Oryctolagus cuniculus: one gene and its partner. The protein of the gene in region 2 purifies or fractionates together with the protein of the main gene of each other region. This does not show direct contact. Links are inferred from orthologs where the notes say so. Each region holds a gene or a part of one and is shown on either strand. Other genes may lie near its edges.

Region 1 (4,456 bases), on a different chromosome or scaffold from region 2:
ACATCTCAAAGTTATCCCGATAATGCTTCAGGGGCAGCCCAGTGTTCGCATCCTGCCCTGCCCCCTTCTACCTGATAACCTGCCAGGTGGGGGTCCCCGCCCCTTCTGCCTGACAAATCTTCCACAACCTCCCAGGTGCAGCCCAGTATCTGCATTTCAAACACCCTGCTCTGATCCCCATTCTCTAGGGGGTCCTGCTCACCCTTCCTCTGAACCCAGGACGGCACCAGCTAGGCTTCCTCCTGTCTGATACCTTCAGGGGAAAACCCAGATAGGAGTTTCTTAATATTTACAGCCATAAAATCCTTTGTTTCAGGAGGAAATGTGAGAAGACAGAGACCCATCTCCTTAAAAACCCCGCCTAAATGTAGACCGGGCACTCTCTCTCAGGTCCTGTCTGGAGAGGTGCCCATCGGTTCTTGCGGATGTCCCTACCCTAATAAACTTTGCTATTTTACCTCCCACTACTCTCTGTCTCACGCCCGAATTCTTTCTTGTGCGAAGACAAGAACCCTGCCATTTCTACGGTAACAGTTTCACTTGGTTTTCTTCTTCTTTTTAAAATTAATTAATTTATTTGAAAGGCAGAGTTCCAGAGAGGCAGAGGGAGGGAGGGAGGGAGGGAGGGAGAGAGAGAGAGACAGAGACAGAGAGAGAGGTCTTCCATCACTGGTTCACTCCCCAGTTGGCCGCAACGGCCAGAGCTGCACCCATCTGAAGCCAGGAGCCAGGAGCTTCTTCTGGGTCTCCCACGTGGGTGCAGGGGCCCAAGGACTTGGGCCTTCTACTGCTGCCCCAGGCCACAGCAGAGCTGCATGGGAAGTGGAGCAGCATGTGGGACGCTCGCACTGCAGACGGAGACTGCACCCGCTCCGCCACAGCGCCCGCCCTCGCCTGGTTTTCACTTGCACACACAGCGTCCTCGCGCAGCACGAGGCCGCGTTCCCTTTTCGTGCAGGTAACATCATTCGCATCCCTTGGAAAAGAAACCCCGGCTGGATCGTCTTGTGGGCGCCAGCAGCCTAACGACAGGGCGGCGTGTTCTCCAGCTCCCACTCCCTGAAAACCTGTGACCCAGCTCGAACGCACGCTCAGCCATCTCGCTGGATGTCTCCACACCTCTTGGATCTGCGTTCACTGCACATTTTTGTGAGTATCGTGTTTTCCGTTTTTAAGATACGCTTCGACAGACACGGGTGTATTTACGACGGATATGCGCATTAGCGTTCATCGTCGTCATTATTATTGTCTGACCAGTCCAGGCTGCTGGACCCCCACGCACCCGTGTTTTTCACACGACTGCACACTGGACTCCCTGCATGTGCGTGGACACACACGCTCGGCGTTTCTCTGCTTCTCAAGCTCCCCCACAGAAACCCACACAAACCACACGCACGCATTTGCCCTCGTTAAGAGCAGGGTCGCACGCTCCCAACAGCGGCTGGGGACACCCGGAGGGACGAGGCTTCCCGCACCACGTGACCAAACTCCCGCGATCACGTGACGCTGCCCTCGCCACGGCTCTTCCGCCCGCTTCAGACATGGCCGCCAGCCGGCCCTCGCACGGCTGCCACGGGCTTTCCTGCGCGTAGCAGCTTTGTCTGGTCCCAGACCCGGCTCTTTCGGAGAGCGCTGTCCTAGGAAAAGCGCGGCGGGATCTTCGGGACGTGGCGAGTGGGGGCCGCTCGGGGTCGCGGGGCAGATCGAGGGCGGACCGGAAGTTCCGCGGGTGAGCTGTCCGGGGGAGCGGTTGGGCGCGCGCCGGAAGTGGCGGTCGGCGGTCCGCGGGACCCGCGGTGTGCGCGTCCCTGGGTGGCGACAGCGACGGCGACATGGAGCCCGGGGCTGCGGAGCTGTACGACCAGGCCCTGCTGGGCATCCTGCAGCACGTGGGGAACGTGCAGGACTTCCTGCGCGTGCTGTTTGGCTTCCTCTACCGCAAGACTGACTTCTACCGCCTGCTGCGCCAGCCGTCGGACCGCATGGGCTTCCCGCCGGGGGCGGCGCAGGCCCTGGTGCTGCAGGTGAGGCGGCCACAGGTGTGGGCCGCGCCTCCCTCCCGTGGGCGCGGCTGCGCGGTGGGAGGGGCGGGAGCCGCGGGCGGGGCGGGGCGGGGCGGGGGTCGGGTGGTGGGGGGCGCCCCGCTGGCCGGGGGGTACCTGCGCGCTCGCCGGCCCAGGGCGGCCCTGGAGGGGCGGTTAGGGTCGCCTCCGGACTCGGGGTGCACGCCTCCCAGGCTGGGCTGGTCGCGAGTTGGGAGCGACCCGGCGAAGTTGGCACTTGCAGTAAGCGTGTACCGAGCGTGGTCCGCACCCGGCCGCCACGGGCGCGGCGAAGGTGGGCTTCAGGGGGCTCTGCAAGGCCGGCTGTGGGCCGGAACCAGCTGGGAGGGAAGAAAGAGAAATGGGGGCTGAGGGCTGGGCGCCTGGCGCGCCGCGTGAGGCCCGCATCCCGCATCACAGCCCTGGGGCTCGAGTCCCGGCCGTGTTGTCCACTCTGCCTTCGTGCTGTGGGCAGCCGTGCTCGCCGGGTACTCGGACCCTGCCACCCAGGTGCGAGACTGGATGGCGACCAGCCCCCCCTGGTCTTGGCCTGGCCCAGCTCTGGCTGTTGCCGGCGCTTGGGGGGCGGAGCAGTGGATGGCAAATCCCTATCTCTCTCTCTCTCCCTCTCTCTCTCTCCCTCCCTCCCTCCCTCCCTAACTTTGAAATGATCAGTAAACAAATTGACGATGGAGAGAAACCGAGGCTTTGTGGGCGAGGTGGGACTGGGTGAGGCTGGGGGTGAGTGCTGGCGCAGCGCTGAGCCTGTGTGTGGGAAGCTGGGAGGCAGACGTGCTGTCGGTGACCCCTGGCGCGGTGCTGTCCGAGTCGCTGTGCCAGGTGCCCCAGCCTCTCAGGTGCTGCTTCCCTCGGATCCGGCAGGAAGGAGCTTGCGGCTTAGAGCGTGTGAGGAGTGTGTGGTTGTGGCCCGCGCAGCGCAGGCCATTCCGCATCCTTACCCGTGGCCTGGTGCCGTGGCAGCCACCAGGAGCTGGCACAGCGGCTGCCGGGAGGACCGGGTGACAGTGTCGTGGTGGTCTCGCAGCTGGTCTTCCCAGGGCTCCCGTGGGATAGGTAAGGGTGAATTTGGTGCACCAGTTAAGCAGAGTTAAGCGCTCTGGCCAAGAACACACAGAGCTGGAACTGAACACTCTGCACTGTCGGGTGGCCGTTCCGCAGTGGGATGGCAGTAGCTTGCAGAGAGGTGTGGAGGAGGAAGGAACGTGAGTCTGCTGGGTCCGTGTTTCCACCGTGGAGTGTCACTCTAACTCTGCACGCCGGCAGAGGGTGGTCTTGATCCTTGGATCGGGGATGGATGCGTCCGTTTATCTGGTGACTATTGACGAAGCACCGAGTCTGGCCTGACACGCTCACTCAGTAGATTTGTCGGCCAGTGAGTGTCGTGGGGGCGCGGCAGCAGGGACCCAGGCAGGGGAGGGAAGAGTCGGGGGATCCGCAGTTGGAGGGACGAGTCTCCCCGTCTTTGTTCCAATATCTGGCTCCTGTGGGAGATAAGAATTCAAGACAGAGGCGAGGTTATTTAAAGGGAGAGAGTGAGTATACATTCAGGTATGAGTGTGGCGGCCCCTTGTCGAGAGGTGCTCACGAGGAGAGAGCGCGCGCGTGAGAAGGCTGGAAAAGGCCGCCCCACGTCCCGTGACCCCTTTTATGGGGTGGGATGGCCCCCTAAGTGAGTGTGCCCGTGTGCAGTGGGTGTGCTGTGGTGTGTGAGGGCGGGGAAGCCCCCTAAGTGAGTGTGCCCGTGTGCAGTGGGTGTGCTGTGGTGTGTGAGGGCGGGGAAGGCCCCTAAGTGAGTGTGCCCGTGTGCAGTGGGTGTGCTGTGGTGTGTGAGGGCGGGGAAGCCCCCTAAGTGAGTGTGCCCGTGTGCAGTGGGTGTGCTGTGGTGTGTGAGGGCGGGGATGGCCCCCTAAGTGAGTGTGCCCGTGTGCAGTGGGTGTGCTGTGGTGTGTGAGGGCGGGGAAGGCCCTAAGTGAGTGTGCCCGTGTGCAGTGGGTGTGCTGTGGTGTGTGAGGGCGGGGAAGGCCCCTAAGTGAGTGTGCCCGTGTGCAGTGGGTGTGCTGTGGTGTGTGAGGGCGGGGAAGGCCCCTAAGTGAGTGTGCCCGTGTGCAGTGGGTGTGCTGTGGTGTGTGAGGGCGGGGAAGGCCCCTAAGTGAGTGTGCCCGTGTGCAGTGGGTGTGCTGTGGTGTGTGAGGGCGGGGAAGGCCCCTAAGTGAGTGTGCCCGTGTGGCGTGGGTGCGCTGTGGTGTGTGAGGCCAGCCAGGGTTTCGTGGCAGGCGTCTCACGTGGGGTCTTCTGTATAGGAGGCCTGGGTGCATCATGGGGACGTGAGTACGCGGGGTTGGTGTGTGAGCTGCGGGGCTGGAGACAGAAATTGTAGACTACTTTCCAGCTCA
Region 2 (4,392 bases):
ATGGGCGTGTGGAGGTTGGTGGTTCTGTTCTCAGTACTGTGCATGTCGAAAAACATAATAAAAAATAAAGCACAAGGCAAGCACCCAGAGCCTGTCTGCTCCGGGATTCCTGCCCAGCGACTCCGGGAGCCGTTGGCGCGCCTTTCTCCAAGGAGCTGCTGTACTTTGAACGCTGCTCGGGCCGGAAACTCGCTGCGATGACTTTATGCAGGCCGCCTCCTAGCTTGTATGTTCATTGTCTCTTGGCACCACTCGCCGGCGCCAAGCCCAGTGCTGGGCACACAGTGGTGCTCACTGAATGTCAGATGGAGGGAACTGTGACTATAGGCGCTTAATAAATTTTTTCTAAATCAGTTATACACATTATTTGTGGTTTTTTTTTCCTCAAGTGGATTGTCATTAGAGTCAAAAACGACATATGGCAGGGAAAGTTCACTGCAAAATGTAGCTACTTGAAAATATGACTGCGGGGGCTGGCGCCCTGGCCTGAAGTGCCGGCATCCCATATGGGCGCTGGTTCGAGTCCTGGCTGCTCCACTTCTGATCCAGCTCTCTGCTATGGCCTGGGAAAGCAGTAGAAGATGGCCCAAGTCCTTGGGCCCCTGCATCTGCATGGGAGACCCAGAAGACCCAGAAGAAGCTCCTGGCTCCTGGCTTCGGATCGGCACAGTTCCAGCCGTTGCGGCCATTTGGGGAGTGAACCAGCGGATGGAAAACCTCTCTCTTTCCCTCCCCCCCCCACTCCTCTCTGTGTAGCTCTGACTCTCAAGTAAAAAAAGATAAATCTTTAAAGAAAGAAAGGGCACCGCGGCTCACTAGGCTAATCCTCTGCCTGTGGCGCTGGCACCTGGGTTCTAGTCCCGGTTGGGGCGCCGGGTTCTGTCCCAGTTGCTCCTTTTCCAGTCCAGCTCTCTGCTGTGGCCCAGGAAGGCAGTGGAGGATGGCCCAAGTGCTTGGGCTCTGCACCCTCATGGGAGACCAGGAGGAAGCACCTGACTCCTGGCTTCGGATTGGCGCAGCGTGCCGGCCATAGCAGCCTCTTGGGGGCTGAACCAACGGTAAAGGAAGACCTCTCTCTCTCTCTCTCTCTCTAACTCTGCCTGTCCAGAAAAAAAAAGAAAGAAAATGCTGAGTGTGGAGTGCTACGTCTTCCACCAGGGTCAGATGGCCGGCCATCCTGGAGTGGGAGGGCGGCCTTAGCTGAAGTAACTGGAGGAGGGTGGGATTAGTCAGCCTCCTCTGGGCACACGTGGACCTGCGGTTATTGACAGAAGGAAACAACGAGAGGACCGGGCCGGAGGCTCCTGGACAGACCCGTGTAGGCCAGGAGGAGTTGCTGGCCTGAGGGGGCCGGAGGGCAGGACACCTGTACAGTTCTGCCACCCCCGCGGTTTGCATGGTTTGCGCCTCCATCGCGTGGTGAACTCACTCTTCCTGTAGCTCAGCCTCGACCCCCGCAGTCAGCTCCCCTGCGCTGTGTCCATGCCTGTGTGCTGCACCTGCCACACCGCACCACCATTTGTTGGTTAAAAGTCTTCCCCTAAGCTCCTGCGTCCTCTCGTGTCCCCAGTGACTGGTGCTTGACGGGAGAACCCTGAATGCGTCACATAATGAGCTAGGGGTGGGAGTCAGGTACATGACCAAAGCAGAACGGGATTTGGGGTGTCAGACCATAGGGGTGAGGTGGTTATGGGGAACTGATGGCTCTGTAGGGTAAGAGTCCAGTGGTACCAGATTTGACAGTTCTTCAACAGAGTGAACAGTCAGGTTTGTCAGTATTAACACATTCCATTTGGAGACTGAAGAAGCATGGGCTGCAGACAGCATCTGGCTTTAATTCATTTTAGAGGGAATCAGGGAGCCATCTTGCTTTGCCAGTAGGAAGTGTTGAGTTGGGTTCAGGTGCCCTGGGGAAGGAAGAGGGCCCAGGTGTGGGAGGGAGGATTTGGGAGGCAGAGCCGGCCTCCCACTGCTGCAGGAGCCACTCCCGTGGAGCCTGGGACTGTTTTGAAGCCTTTCTTGATATTGCTCAAACCAAGCCGCCCTTGACATTATGGCCAAGAGAGTGGGGAATATCATGTTATTGTTCCCCCACATTCCATAGGTGTCAGAAATCAGGTGCCATTGTGCAACGTCATCTAAGAGATGTGATAACATCTTGGCAGTTTCAGTCTCAGATAAATGGTTTTGTTTTATCTGAGAACCAAAAAGGATGTTTGCAAGAGATCAACAGTAATCACTCACTCAACAAGTGTTTAGACACCTGCCATCTGACGTGCTGCGGGCACAGGGACACTGACGCTACCATGCGAGTGGTATTAGAGACTTTTGCTACCTTTGCACTTTCCCCCATTTGTATTTTCTGCATGAGCCATGTGCCCTTTTTACAACCAGGAAAATAAAAAACAAGAAAGCAATTTCCATTTGCAGAAAGAAGAAGGTTCTCTTGCTTTGAAAAACGAGTCAAGAGACGGATGCCCTTGGGGATTTGGACTTTCACAATAAGAGAGAGAGGCCAGTAAAAGCAGTACTGAACGGCAGGGGAACAACTCACAGTTTGAAAACTTTTGGGCCGGCGCCGCGGCTCACTAGGCTAATCCTCCGCCTTGCGGCGCCAGCACACCGGGTTCTAGTCCCGGTCAGGGCACCGGATTCTGTCCCGGTTGCCCCTCTTCCAGGCCAGCTCTCTGCTGTGGCCCGGGAGTGCAGTGGAGGATGGCTCAAGTGCTTGGGCCCTGCACCCACATGGGAGACCAGGAGAAGCACCTGGCTCCTGCCTTCAGATCAGCGCAGTGCGCTGGCCGCAGCATGCTGGCCATGGCGGCCATTGGAGGGTGAACCAACGGCAAAAGGAAGACCTTTCTCTCTGTCTCTCTCTCTCACTGTCCACTCTGCCTGTCAAAAATAAAAAAAATTTAAAAAAAATAAAAAACTTTTCAGAACTCTCACCTCAAATCCAACATCCATGTGCGTGAAACCTGAGTGAAGGTCGCACGCGGCCCAGCAGGGCCCACGCAGACCGAGGCGCAGCCCTTCTGCCTTCCAGCCCTGTAAGCTTTTCCATGACACCAACCTGACTCTTCGTAAACATTAATTTGGTCGAGACCGTCTCTTCTGATTCATCTTGAGGTAGTCCTCAGACATTTTATTGGGTAGGTCTGTCATGTGTCCAAATCTAAATATAGTTCTTTTGTTTCCGAAAAATCAAAGCGCTTCCAAATCGCTGAGTCAGAGAACCTCTCCGTGCCTGCAACGTTGGCTCTGTATGTTTACAGTCGCCAGAGAGGTGTCTTGGGCACCAGTGCACTAATTAACTGGCCACGATGCTCCACGGAGTGAGTGACCATCTCTGTCCAGACCCCGCACCCAGCACGACGCCGGACACACACAGTAGGGGCTCGGTAAGTACCTGCCGCATACAGGGAGGAAGGACTCTTCTCTCCACAGAGAGCACCTCAGAGCTGCTGTCCCCGCGTCCCCGCGTCCCCTCCAGCTGCTGAGCTGGCGGCCCCTTGGCATCCCCAGGCACGTGTCCACAGACGCCAGGAAATCAACTCCTGACTATCCCTGGCATCTCACCGTTCCCCAGGCAAGTGGGAGCGCCATCATTTCCCCACGAACAGGAACCTGGGGTCATGCAGCCTTCATCGCATTCAGCGAGTCCTGCAGCTTCTAGGCAGGCCCTCCTCAGTGTGCAGCTGCTTCTAGAAGCCTCCACCAACAGCCCCTGACCTAGCACCATTCGACTCCTGCAGCAGCCTTCTCACCCTACCCTGCTCTTCTCTTGCCCCCTTGTGGATTCTTCCTCCCCATAAGGCAATAAGTCAAGCTGCTTCCTCATTCAAAACCCTCCATCAAAATCAAGGAAAAAAAAAAAAAAGCTAAAGTCCTTACTGTGGCCTACAAAGGCCTGTGGAATGTGACCTCTGTCTCATCTGTGACCTCATTGCCCGCCACATCCCCCCTCTCAGTGTGTGCCAATCAAACTGGCCTTCTTGCTCTTCCTTGAGCAGAGGCCTGCCACGCACACACCTCAGGGCCTTTGCACTGCCTCGTTTCATAGCCTGGACACCTCTTTCCTCGTTCTCCCAGCTGGTCTTCACTCGGCTTCCTGCACAGGACCGCCCTGGGCCTGCTTCATCCTTCATTACATTGAATCACTGCCTCGTTACCTACGCTTGCTGGGGACTGTGTGTCTCCTCTGACTCTAATACGGGTTTCATGGGGCCTGGCAGTGTGGACATTGAGCATACAAATAAAAGCATTCTGGTCACACCCATCTAAAACAGAGCCAACAGGCCCTGGGAAAACACTGTCAGATCACAAACAACTGTTTCAGAAGCTTTCCTGTTTGGCCAATGCTGCAAAACCACCTGCCTCATCTTGAAGACT

What was found.
Region 1: the proteins of GAN (region 2) and NUDCD3 purify together in Homo sapiens (co-immunoprecipitation; 3 studies listed by BioGRID and IntAct, counting the BioPlex papers as one, with this or other methods). This does not show direct contact. The link is inferred for Oryctolagus cuniculus from reciprocal best matches to the Homo sapiens genes GAN and NUDCD3.

The regions. Positions count from the first base shown.
Region 1 is NC_091447.1:51,876,755-51,881,210, reverse strand, and holds the start of NUDCD3 (nudC domain-containing protein 3), read left to right. Parts: upstream 1-1,491; 5' UTR 1,492-1,832; coding exon 1,833-2,024; intron 2,025-2,317; exon of another isoform or gene 2,318-2,337; intron 2,338-4,456.
Region 2 is NC_091449.1:63,462,181-63,466,572, reverse strand, and holds the start of GAN (gigaxonin), read right to left. Parts: upstream 2,933-4,392; 5' UTR 1-2,932. UniProt on the Homo sapiens protein: Probable cytoskeletal component that directly or indirectly plays an important role in neurofilament architecture.